2 linked regions of the Xenopus tropicalis genome follow. The protein of the gene in region 1 purifies or fractionates together with the protein of each later gene. This does not show direct contact. Links are inferred from orthologs where the notes say so. Each region holds a gene or a part of one and is shown on either strand. Other genes may lie near its edges.

Evidence for each region.
Region 2: the proteins of kcmf1 (region 1) and abhd10 purify together in Homo sapiens (affinity purification with mass spectrometry; 3 studies listed by BioGRID and IntAct, counting the BioPlex papers as one, with this or other methods). This does not show direct contact. The link is inferred for Xenopus tropicalis from reciprocal best matches to the Homo sapiens genes KCMF1 and ABHD10.

Annotation. Positions count from the first base shown.
Region 1 is NC_030677.2:94,528,621-94,533,042, forward strand, and holds the start of kcmf1 (E3 ubiquitin-protein ligase KCMF1), read left to right. Parts: upstream 1-1,507; 5' UTR 1,508-1,546; coding exon 1,547-1,562; exon of another isoform or gene 1,563-1,730; intron 1,731-4,422. UniProt on the Homo sapiens protein: E3 ubiquitin-protein ligase which accepts ubiquitin from an E2 ubiquitin-conjugating enzyme and then transfers it to targeted substrates, promoting their degradation by the proteasome.
Region 2 is NC_030678.2:76,649,913-76,654,147, reverse strand, and holds the start of abhd10 (mycophenolic acid acyl-glucuronide esterase, mitochondrial), read left to right. Parts: upstream 1-1,350; 5' UTR 1,351-1,473; coding exon 1,474-1,570; intron 1,571-4,235. UniProt on the Homo sapiens protein: Acts as an acyl-protein thioesterase that hydrolyzes fatty acids from acylated residues in proteins.

The DNA of each region.
Region 1 (4,422 bases):
TTTTTTTATAGTAGTTGAATTATATGCCTTCTTCTTTAGACTCTTGCCAGCTTTCAAATGGGGGTCACAAAAAACTTTTGCTCTGTGAGGCTACAATTTCTATTGTTACTTTTTATCACATATATTTCTATTCAGGCTTGTCCTACTCATAATCCAGTCTCCAATTCACACGAACACTTGGTTGAAGGGAAATTTACAACCAAGAGCTGCTGATTGAAAAAAAAACAAAACAAAAAAAAACTGAATAATTAAAAACGAAGAAACAAAAATGAAGACTAACTGCTAATTGTCTCTGCATATCACTCTCTACATTATAATAAAAGTAAAAGGGATTCTGTCACAGGAAAACATGTTTTTTTACAAATGAATCAGTTAATAGCGCTCTTCCAGAAGAATCCTGCATTGACTACCCTTTTTTCCCAAAGAGCAAACAGATTTTTTTAAGTTTAATTTTGATATTTGACATGGAGCTAGACATATTCTTAGTTTAGTGTTTTCTCTTCCTTCTTTCCTCTGAATCCCGGGGCCGGCGCATGCACAGTAGAGTAAAAAAAAGCCGACTTTTTTGGTTAAAGTGAAGACAGAAGAACGAAGAGGAGAAACTCGCTCACGGGGTAAAAGGTAAGCTATTAAAGTAACTGTGGGGGTACCTAACCTTTTGGCACCCCCAGTGACTTAGCCTTTCCTTCTCCTTTAAATATAAAAAAATCTTTTTGCATTTTTGAAAAATGGATTTCAATGCTCTATTAACTTATGTGTATTGAAAAAACATATTTTCCCATTACAGCATTCCTTTAACTGTCTTAAGTAATTTTCCATCCCAAGAAATGCACATGTGCCTGTGCAGAAACATTTTGAAATTAGAGCACATATAAAATTATGTGTGTGTGTGTGTGTGTGTGTGTGTGTGTGTGTGTATATATATATATATATATATATATATATATATATATATAATCTGGCAATTATTCTGGATGAGCCACCTCTCCACAAAAGCAGAAATATAGGCTTTCCACAACAGTTTTAAGAGTGTACAGAAAAACTATTTCTCCCACAGCAGCACAACAGCTAGAGACTGTGGGGTTTATGTAAGCTGCAGCCCAACAACAACAGAAGAAAGAGGTAGGTTGGACGTCCATAATCTACATCACACTATAATACTGACCATTAATATAGAGTTGTTTTAGGTACTGATCATGTATAATGCATATATCAAATATATTTAACCCATACTAAATCCCTTCCGTATTTAATCTAATTCAGGAATAAGCCGTCTATATATTTATGCATAGCCTAAATAGCTTAACTGGTGTCTGCGAAATAATGTGTATGGACCCCAAAGTGATGCTTGAGTGAGTAGAGCCTCTTTTAGACTTGGTGTGCCTTACCTGCTTCCAGTGTTCCTCTGTACGTGTGCTGTCTGTGAGCGTGTGTCAGGAGGAAGAGGAGGAGGGTGCAGAGGAAGCACACACACACACACTGCTGTCTCACTAGGAGGAGGAGGAGCCGGAGCAGCAGCTGCAGCGGCGGCGGCCTGAGCGATAGGATGTCCCGACATGAAGGTGAGAGCCGTGATGGGAGGACATGGGGGGCTAGAAAGCTAGTGTCCCCACACCAGTACCCCCGCACACGCACATCTCTCAGTAGGCAGCCATTCCTCTGTACTTCCTGTTAATATATCTCCTCCAGAGTGGTGAGGGTACAGGCCCAGGCCTCCTCCCTGTGCTGCCGGCTCCACTTGCTGTTCCTGGGAGCTTCTGTTACCCTCTTGGCCCGGCATGTAACGCTACCCCATCGTTTCCTTTTACCTGTCGCCCAGTCGGCAGGCTCCGCATCTTACTGCCCCCTTCCCCTCTCGTGCTCGGGCTCTGTTTACATTCAAGGCCGAGGCTTCAGGCCCGGGACACGGTTAGAGGCCACCCAGTGTACATATACAAACACGTGTATACATTGCACCCCGAAAGTACATTTATGGACAGAGCATACAGTGTATTAGGACACTGAAGTGGGCATTTGTTGGTGTGGGCAGCGGGGAGAGGCCCGGTAAGAAGGAGGAGTAGGGGGATTGCACTGTCATGCGAGGGAGGAGGGGAGCCGTATGCACTGGAAGTTGGGAGGAAGAGGTCAGTTTGTGTATGTTAGTTTAGTTTACAGAATTTTGCATTTTTGTTGAACATGCCTTTTATGGGTAGTGTGTCATATACAGTCAGAGAAATACCCACTGGTTTTATGTTTCTATATCAGTCCATCTGTAGATTCTGCACATGTTAATAGCATGGCTGGAGGAGTGTGTTGTATATTATTGTTGAACTGGGTGCAGTTTGTGTAGGAGGTCAGGGATGTCTAGTCAGGAGCACAACCCAACAATGTCTTTTGAGCCCACACTGCAGGTTGGTCCATCACAGTGAATACACAACTGTATCTATATGTTGTATGTGTGTAAAACCAGATACTTTATGACTGCAATGTATTAATAACATGTGAATTTTTATGTATGATACTTTTCTGTTGTTTTGCGTGACTATTAAAACATTTTTATGAGATTTTTATAGTGATTTTTAAATGTATTCCAGAAAAAAAGACATTTGTTTATTCCTTTCTGTGCTTCTGTTCTGTATCTTGAATTATTATGCCAGAAGTCAGTTTTCCTTATTGTCAATGTTTAGATGTTACATTTTTTTATTCTTATTTCCGTGCCTATTCTTGTTAACTTTGAATATATTATCAATGTATTTTATAAGTATCTTTTTCTATTTATTTCATAATTATTTACAGATATTTGGTGACCTTTAAATACATTTAGTTATGCTAGCAGAACATCACAACCATGCATTCATATGGAAAGAGTTTTAAAATGCAGTTGTTGGTCACAATTTTATACTAGTAATGGTGCAAGGCAATATCTGCTGTGATTGCAGCACACTGATATGAGATAATAGTGTTCTACGTCTATAAAAGATCATTTCATTTTGCTTTTATGCCAGGGTTTGAAGTATTATGTGCTCCATTCCAATGTATGACAGCTGCATCTTAAACATGCAATAAATAGAGGGCCTTTTCAAAGAATGGCCAGACTACCAACTGCATAGATGCAATGTCAGCATCTGACACACTCAAGTGTCTCACGGTCTCACTGTTTCAAATACAGGTATTGCATTTGTGCTGTGGCTAAAGCCCATTGCCTTTCTGTGACTGGGTCTTTAATGTACAACATGTTCACTGTCTGTAAAAAACATTGCAGCAGTTTCAAAGGGGTTGTTCACCTCTGAGTTAACTTTTAGTATAATGTAGAGTATAATATCTTTGCAGTTGGTCTTGATTTTTTGTCAGTAGTTTTTTTTTTAAATTAAATTCTAGTTCAGCAACTCTTCATATTGGAGTTTTAACAGCTATGGTACAAATTACCTTCGCAGCCAGGGAGTGGTTTGAATAAGAGACTGATGAGGAGGAGAGAAAAAAATGATAAAAAGTAATAATAACAATAAAACTGTAGTCTGTAGTTTTTGGCTGCTGGGGTCAATGTCCCCCATTTGAAAGCTACAAAGAATTTAAAGAAGAAGGCAAATAATTCAAAAACTATAAGGAGTAAATAATGAAGACCAATTGAAAAGCTGCTTAGACTTGGCCATTCTATAACATTCTAAAAGTAAAATTAAAGGTGAAGCACTCCTTTAAGAGTTATATCATTGTGGCAGCTACACTTTGGAGCCTTGTTTTAAAAACAAATGTATTCAAACCTTTGATAGGATAGCAGCCATTACATTACATGCGTTCACATACTAGGTGATATAAAGAAAAAGACAATGCACAACAGCCTATGTGGCAGTTTACATCTTTTTCTTCGCTAAGAACAAATCTTAGACTTGTTGAAACAAAACAGTGGCAGGGCCATAGCTGGCCCACTGGGCTCTGGTTGGGCATCCTTTATGTACTGTAATGCAGAAATTTAGAGTAGTCTTCAGCTTTTGGGTGCCTTTTAAATGTTTGGGTCGTATCAGTGATTGTAAAAAAAGATTTTAAACTAAGTACTATAATGTGTTTTTGGCAGAATATAAAAATATTTGCTAATTTACAAATAACATTTTTCAGTATTGTTTTTTCCATCCCCCTCCTTTTAAAATGAGTGTAAATTCAGTGCTTGTGCTTTATGCAGTACTTTTAATCAAAATGTACCTTGGGATTATCCGGCGATGAGGAAAATAGAGGAAAAATAATAACTTAAATCACGGATTCCTTGTTCAGTTTAAGATATATTAAAACAGACTTGTTTTATAAAGAGAGGTTAACAAGTCAATGTGTACAAGCAAGAACCTATTAACGTTTATTTAGTCCTATAGCATTATTTATAGCATTATTTTCATTTCAGTAGTCTTGCAGGAGGTGGCTAGGAGGATTTCTTGAGAATATTGTTTTTTTCCTGAG
Region 2 (4,235 bases), on another chromosome or scaffold:
CGCAAATGTGCTATACCCTCATACTGTACTACCTAAGGAAAACAATATAGCAACTCCTACATTAAAATACAAATATAGAGAGAAGGCAGTCAGTTATAAGTGAGTTATAACTATCTACCAGTTTTGCCCCCCATACACAGGTGCCCCCCATACACAGGAGCCCCACCACACACAGTGTCCCCTATACAAAGTAGCCCCCCATACACAGTAGCCCCCCCATACACAGTGCCCCCTATACACAGTAGCCCCCCATACACAGTGCCCCCTATACACAGTAGCCCCCATACACAGTGCCAGGGCCGGATTTGTTTGCGGCGCGCCCCTAGGCCACCCCGTTGAACGGCCCGCGCCCCCCCAATGCGCATGCGCAAATGAGCGAACAACCGCTCGTCTCTCTACCCCGCCCCCTCATACATTTAAAGCCCCATACGGAGCAGTGGGGAGAAGTTCCCACTGCTCCGTATTGAAAAAAACTTTAAAAATTCCATTGCGGCGGGGCGGCATGCCGCCCCTACTTTTCTGCCGCCCTAGGCCCGGGCTTTTGTGGCCTCTCCACAAATCCAGGCCTGCACAGTGCCCCCTCATACACATTACCCCCCCATACACATTACCCCCCACAGTAGCTCCTCCTTCTTCTGCGGCTCCTCTCCTTATGCGGCGGCGACAGGCCCTTTATATGGTTGCGCCCGTGCGTAATGATGTCACACGTACCCACAGGCGCAACCTTATAAAAGGGCCTGTCGTGCTGTATAAGGAGCCGCATAACGAGTAAAGCCGCCGGGGAAGTCTGAACGTCCGGCTCCAGCCAGCGCATCCCGCAATGTGGGACATTCATGGAACTATCTGGGACAGTGGGATGCACCATGAAAAGCGGGACTGTCCCGCGAAAAGCGGTGTATGTGTCTGCTATATTTTATGAATGAGCGATACTTCCCCTGCATGCTGTGCTCTGCCAGAGATTCCCAGGAGTGAGAGATATATGTTAGGGGTGGGAAGGTGAAACTGCCCAGCACACAAATAAAGGCAGCAGCCTCTTCTGCCTGATAAAAGACAGAGCCCCCTCAGCCCCTCACCCACTGAGCAGGAGAGGAATGCAGCCAATGCCAATAGTTAACCCTTGCCTGTCACAAATGCTCCTCCCAGGACAATTAAACATCAAGGTAAGGCTGTGAGCTTGAGTGTAGCAGGGGAGATTGAAGAGTTAAGGGGGCGGGGCTTTATTCCCCTGAGCAGAGCAAGCACAGCAATCAATTAAATTGCAAACCTGAAAAGTGGGACATCTAACAGTGAATCCGGGACAGCAGGAAGTGCCATAAATATCGTCCCTGTCCCTGAAAGCGGGACGGTTGGGAGGTATGCACCACAGACACAGCCTCTGGCATTCACCTAGTAATGTGACAGGTCCTTGTTCCTGGGAACTGCGGCTCTCGCGTTGCTTTACTGGCAGTGTGAGGAGGAGGGCGGAGAGCAGATATGGCGTCCGTAACCTTACGCCGAGCCTGTGTGTGGGCGCTGGGGTCTTGTGCGCAGGGGCTTATTCAGTCCAAAGTCATAGTTCCTAGGCTTGCAGGTGAGGCTTCTTGTGAAAGGTAATGCCGCCTAACCTGCGGCTGATCTTACTTGATGTAACTTGCTGACATTGGTGCTTTAACTCCCCTGCTAGGTGTCAGCCAGATGAAGTGAAATATTATTTAAATGTGCAGGAATGTCATATGCAATAGCAAAGAAACTGCTCCTGTGCACAGTGGCGAGTAATTTGCTCAACAATATGTGGGTTTTAGGATTATAATAAATCCAAAATAACACTTAGCTGTCTTTTGACTTGACATTATTAATCATACCTCCCAACCGTCCCACTTTCAGCGGGACAGTCCCGATATTTATGGCACTTCCCGCTGTCCCGGATTCACTGTTAGATGTCCCGCTTTTTAGGTTTGCCATTTAATTGATTGCTGTGCTTGCTCTGCTCCGGGGAATAAAGCCCCGCCCCCTTAACTCTTCAATCTCCCCTGCTACACTCAAGCTCACAGCCTTACCTTGATGTTTAATTGTCCTGGGAGGAGCATTTGTGACAGGCAAGGGTTAACTATTGGCATTGGCTGCATTCCTCTCCTGCTCAGTGGGTGAGGGGCTGAGGGGGCTCTGTCTTTTATCAGGCAGAAGAGGCTGCTGCCTTTATTTGTGTGCTGGGCAGTTTCACCTTCCCACCCCTAACATATATCTCTCACTCCTGGGAATCTCTGGCAGAGCACAGCATGCAGGGGAAGTATCGCTCATTCATAAAATATAGCAGACACATACACCGCTTTTCGCGGGACAGTCCCGCTTTTCATGGCGCATCCCGCTGTCCCAGATAGTTCCATGAATGTCCCACATTGCGGGATGCGCTGGCATCATTACGCACGGGCGCAACCATATAAAGGGCCTGTCGCCGCCGCATAAGGAGAGGAGCCGCAGAAGGAGGAGCTACTGTGGGGGGTAATGTGTATGGGGGCTACTGTGTATAGGGGGCACTGTGTATGGGGGGGCTACTGTGTATAGGGGGCACTGTGCAGGCCCGGATTTGTGAAGAGGCCACAAAGGCCCGGGCCTAGGGCGGCAGAAAAGTAGGGGCGGCATGCCGCCCCGCCGCAATGGAATTTTTAAAGTTTTTTTCAATACGGAGCAGTGGGGAGAAGTGGGGCTTTAAGTGTATGAGGGGGCGGGGTAGGGAGACGAGCGGTTGTTCGCTCATTTGCGCATGCGCATTGGGGGGGCGCGGGCCGTTCAACGGGGTGGCCTAGGGGCGCGCCGCAAACAAATCCGGCCCTGGCACTGTGTATGGGGGCTACTGTGTATAGGGGGCACTGTGTATGGGGGGCTACTGTGTATAGGGGGCACTGTGTATGGGGGGGCTACTGTGTATGGGGGGCTACTTTGTATAGGGGACACTGTGTGTGGTGGGGCTCCTTTAAATGTATGAGCATGCGCACTCGCGAGCGCGCAGGGAGGGCGGGGTAGGGAGACGAGTGGTTGTTCGCTCATTTGCGCATGCGCATTGGGGGGGCACGGGCCGTTCAATGGGGTGGCCTAGGGGCGCGCCGAAAACAAATCCGGCCCTGGCACTGTGTATGGGGGCTACTGTGTATAGGGGGCACTGTGTATGGGGGGCTACTGTGTATAGGGGGCACTGTGTATGGGGGGGCTACTGTGTATGGGGGGCACTGTGTATGTGGGGCTACTGTGTATGGGGGGCTACTGTGTATGGGGGGCTACTGTGTATAGGGGACACTGTGTGTGGCGGGGCTCCTGTGTATGGGGGGGCTCCTGTGTATGGGGGGCAAAACTGGTAGATAGTTATAACTCACTTATAACTGACTGCCTTCTCTCTATATTTGTATTTTAATGTAGGAGTTGCTATATTGTTTTCCTTAGGTAGTACAGTATGAGGGTATAGCACATTTGCGTCTGATCCCGCCATTTCATCTATATAAAAGGAGTATTTTTACAAAAAATGGGGTGAGGTAATTGGGGCGTGGCCACAAAAGTGGGCGTGGTCAAAAAATTGCCGCGCTACGCGCACCAAAACTTTTTGTCCCTCTTTTCATTTTTCAAATGTTGGGAAGTATGTTATATTGCTATAGATACTTAGAATATCTATAGCCCTGTGGTTGGTGCTTATAAATATATGTTATTAGTAATTAAAATGGACCTTTACATTTAATAGAATTTTATTTATATAAATTGGTTTCCTACCTACATAGATTCATGTGGCATAGTTACCATCAAGTACAAGGTATTGTTTTATTATTCCAGAGAAGGAATTATTCTGAGCTTTCTTGATATTGGGTTTCTAAATATGAGATCCCATACATGATTGTTAGAAATAGTGAGCTTAGCTGGCAAGTTGCATAGCACAGATTTTTTTCTGACAAGCAAATCTAAAAGTTACATTATGTGCTAGCAGTGTGCCTGAGCCTCTCACCAAAATGTTTTTTCTAGCCCCCCCCCTCCATGTAAAATTGGACTCGCAAACACCTCCCTCCATGGCCCTCTGTATAGAGGAAGTAGACCCTGGCTGCGGGGTCTCCTTCCTCTATACAGTATAGGGGATCAGAAAAGTCTTAATATCCGGGAAAATGTAAATTTACTATATGCTGGTGATTATGTTTTATACTGGGTGGACAACAAAAAAGGTGTAAAATGGAGCAAAACTTCAAATCATGGTATGTAAAATTAAGGTTTCACTGTAGTTA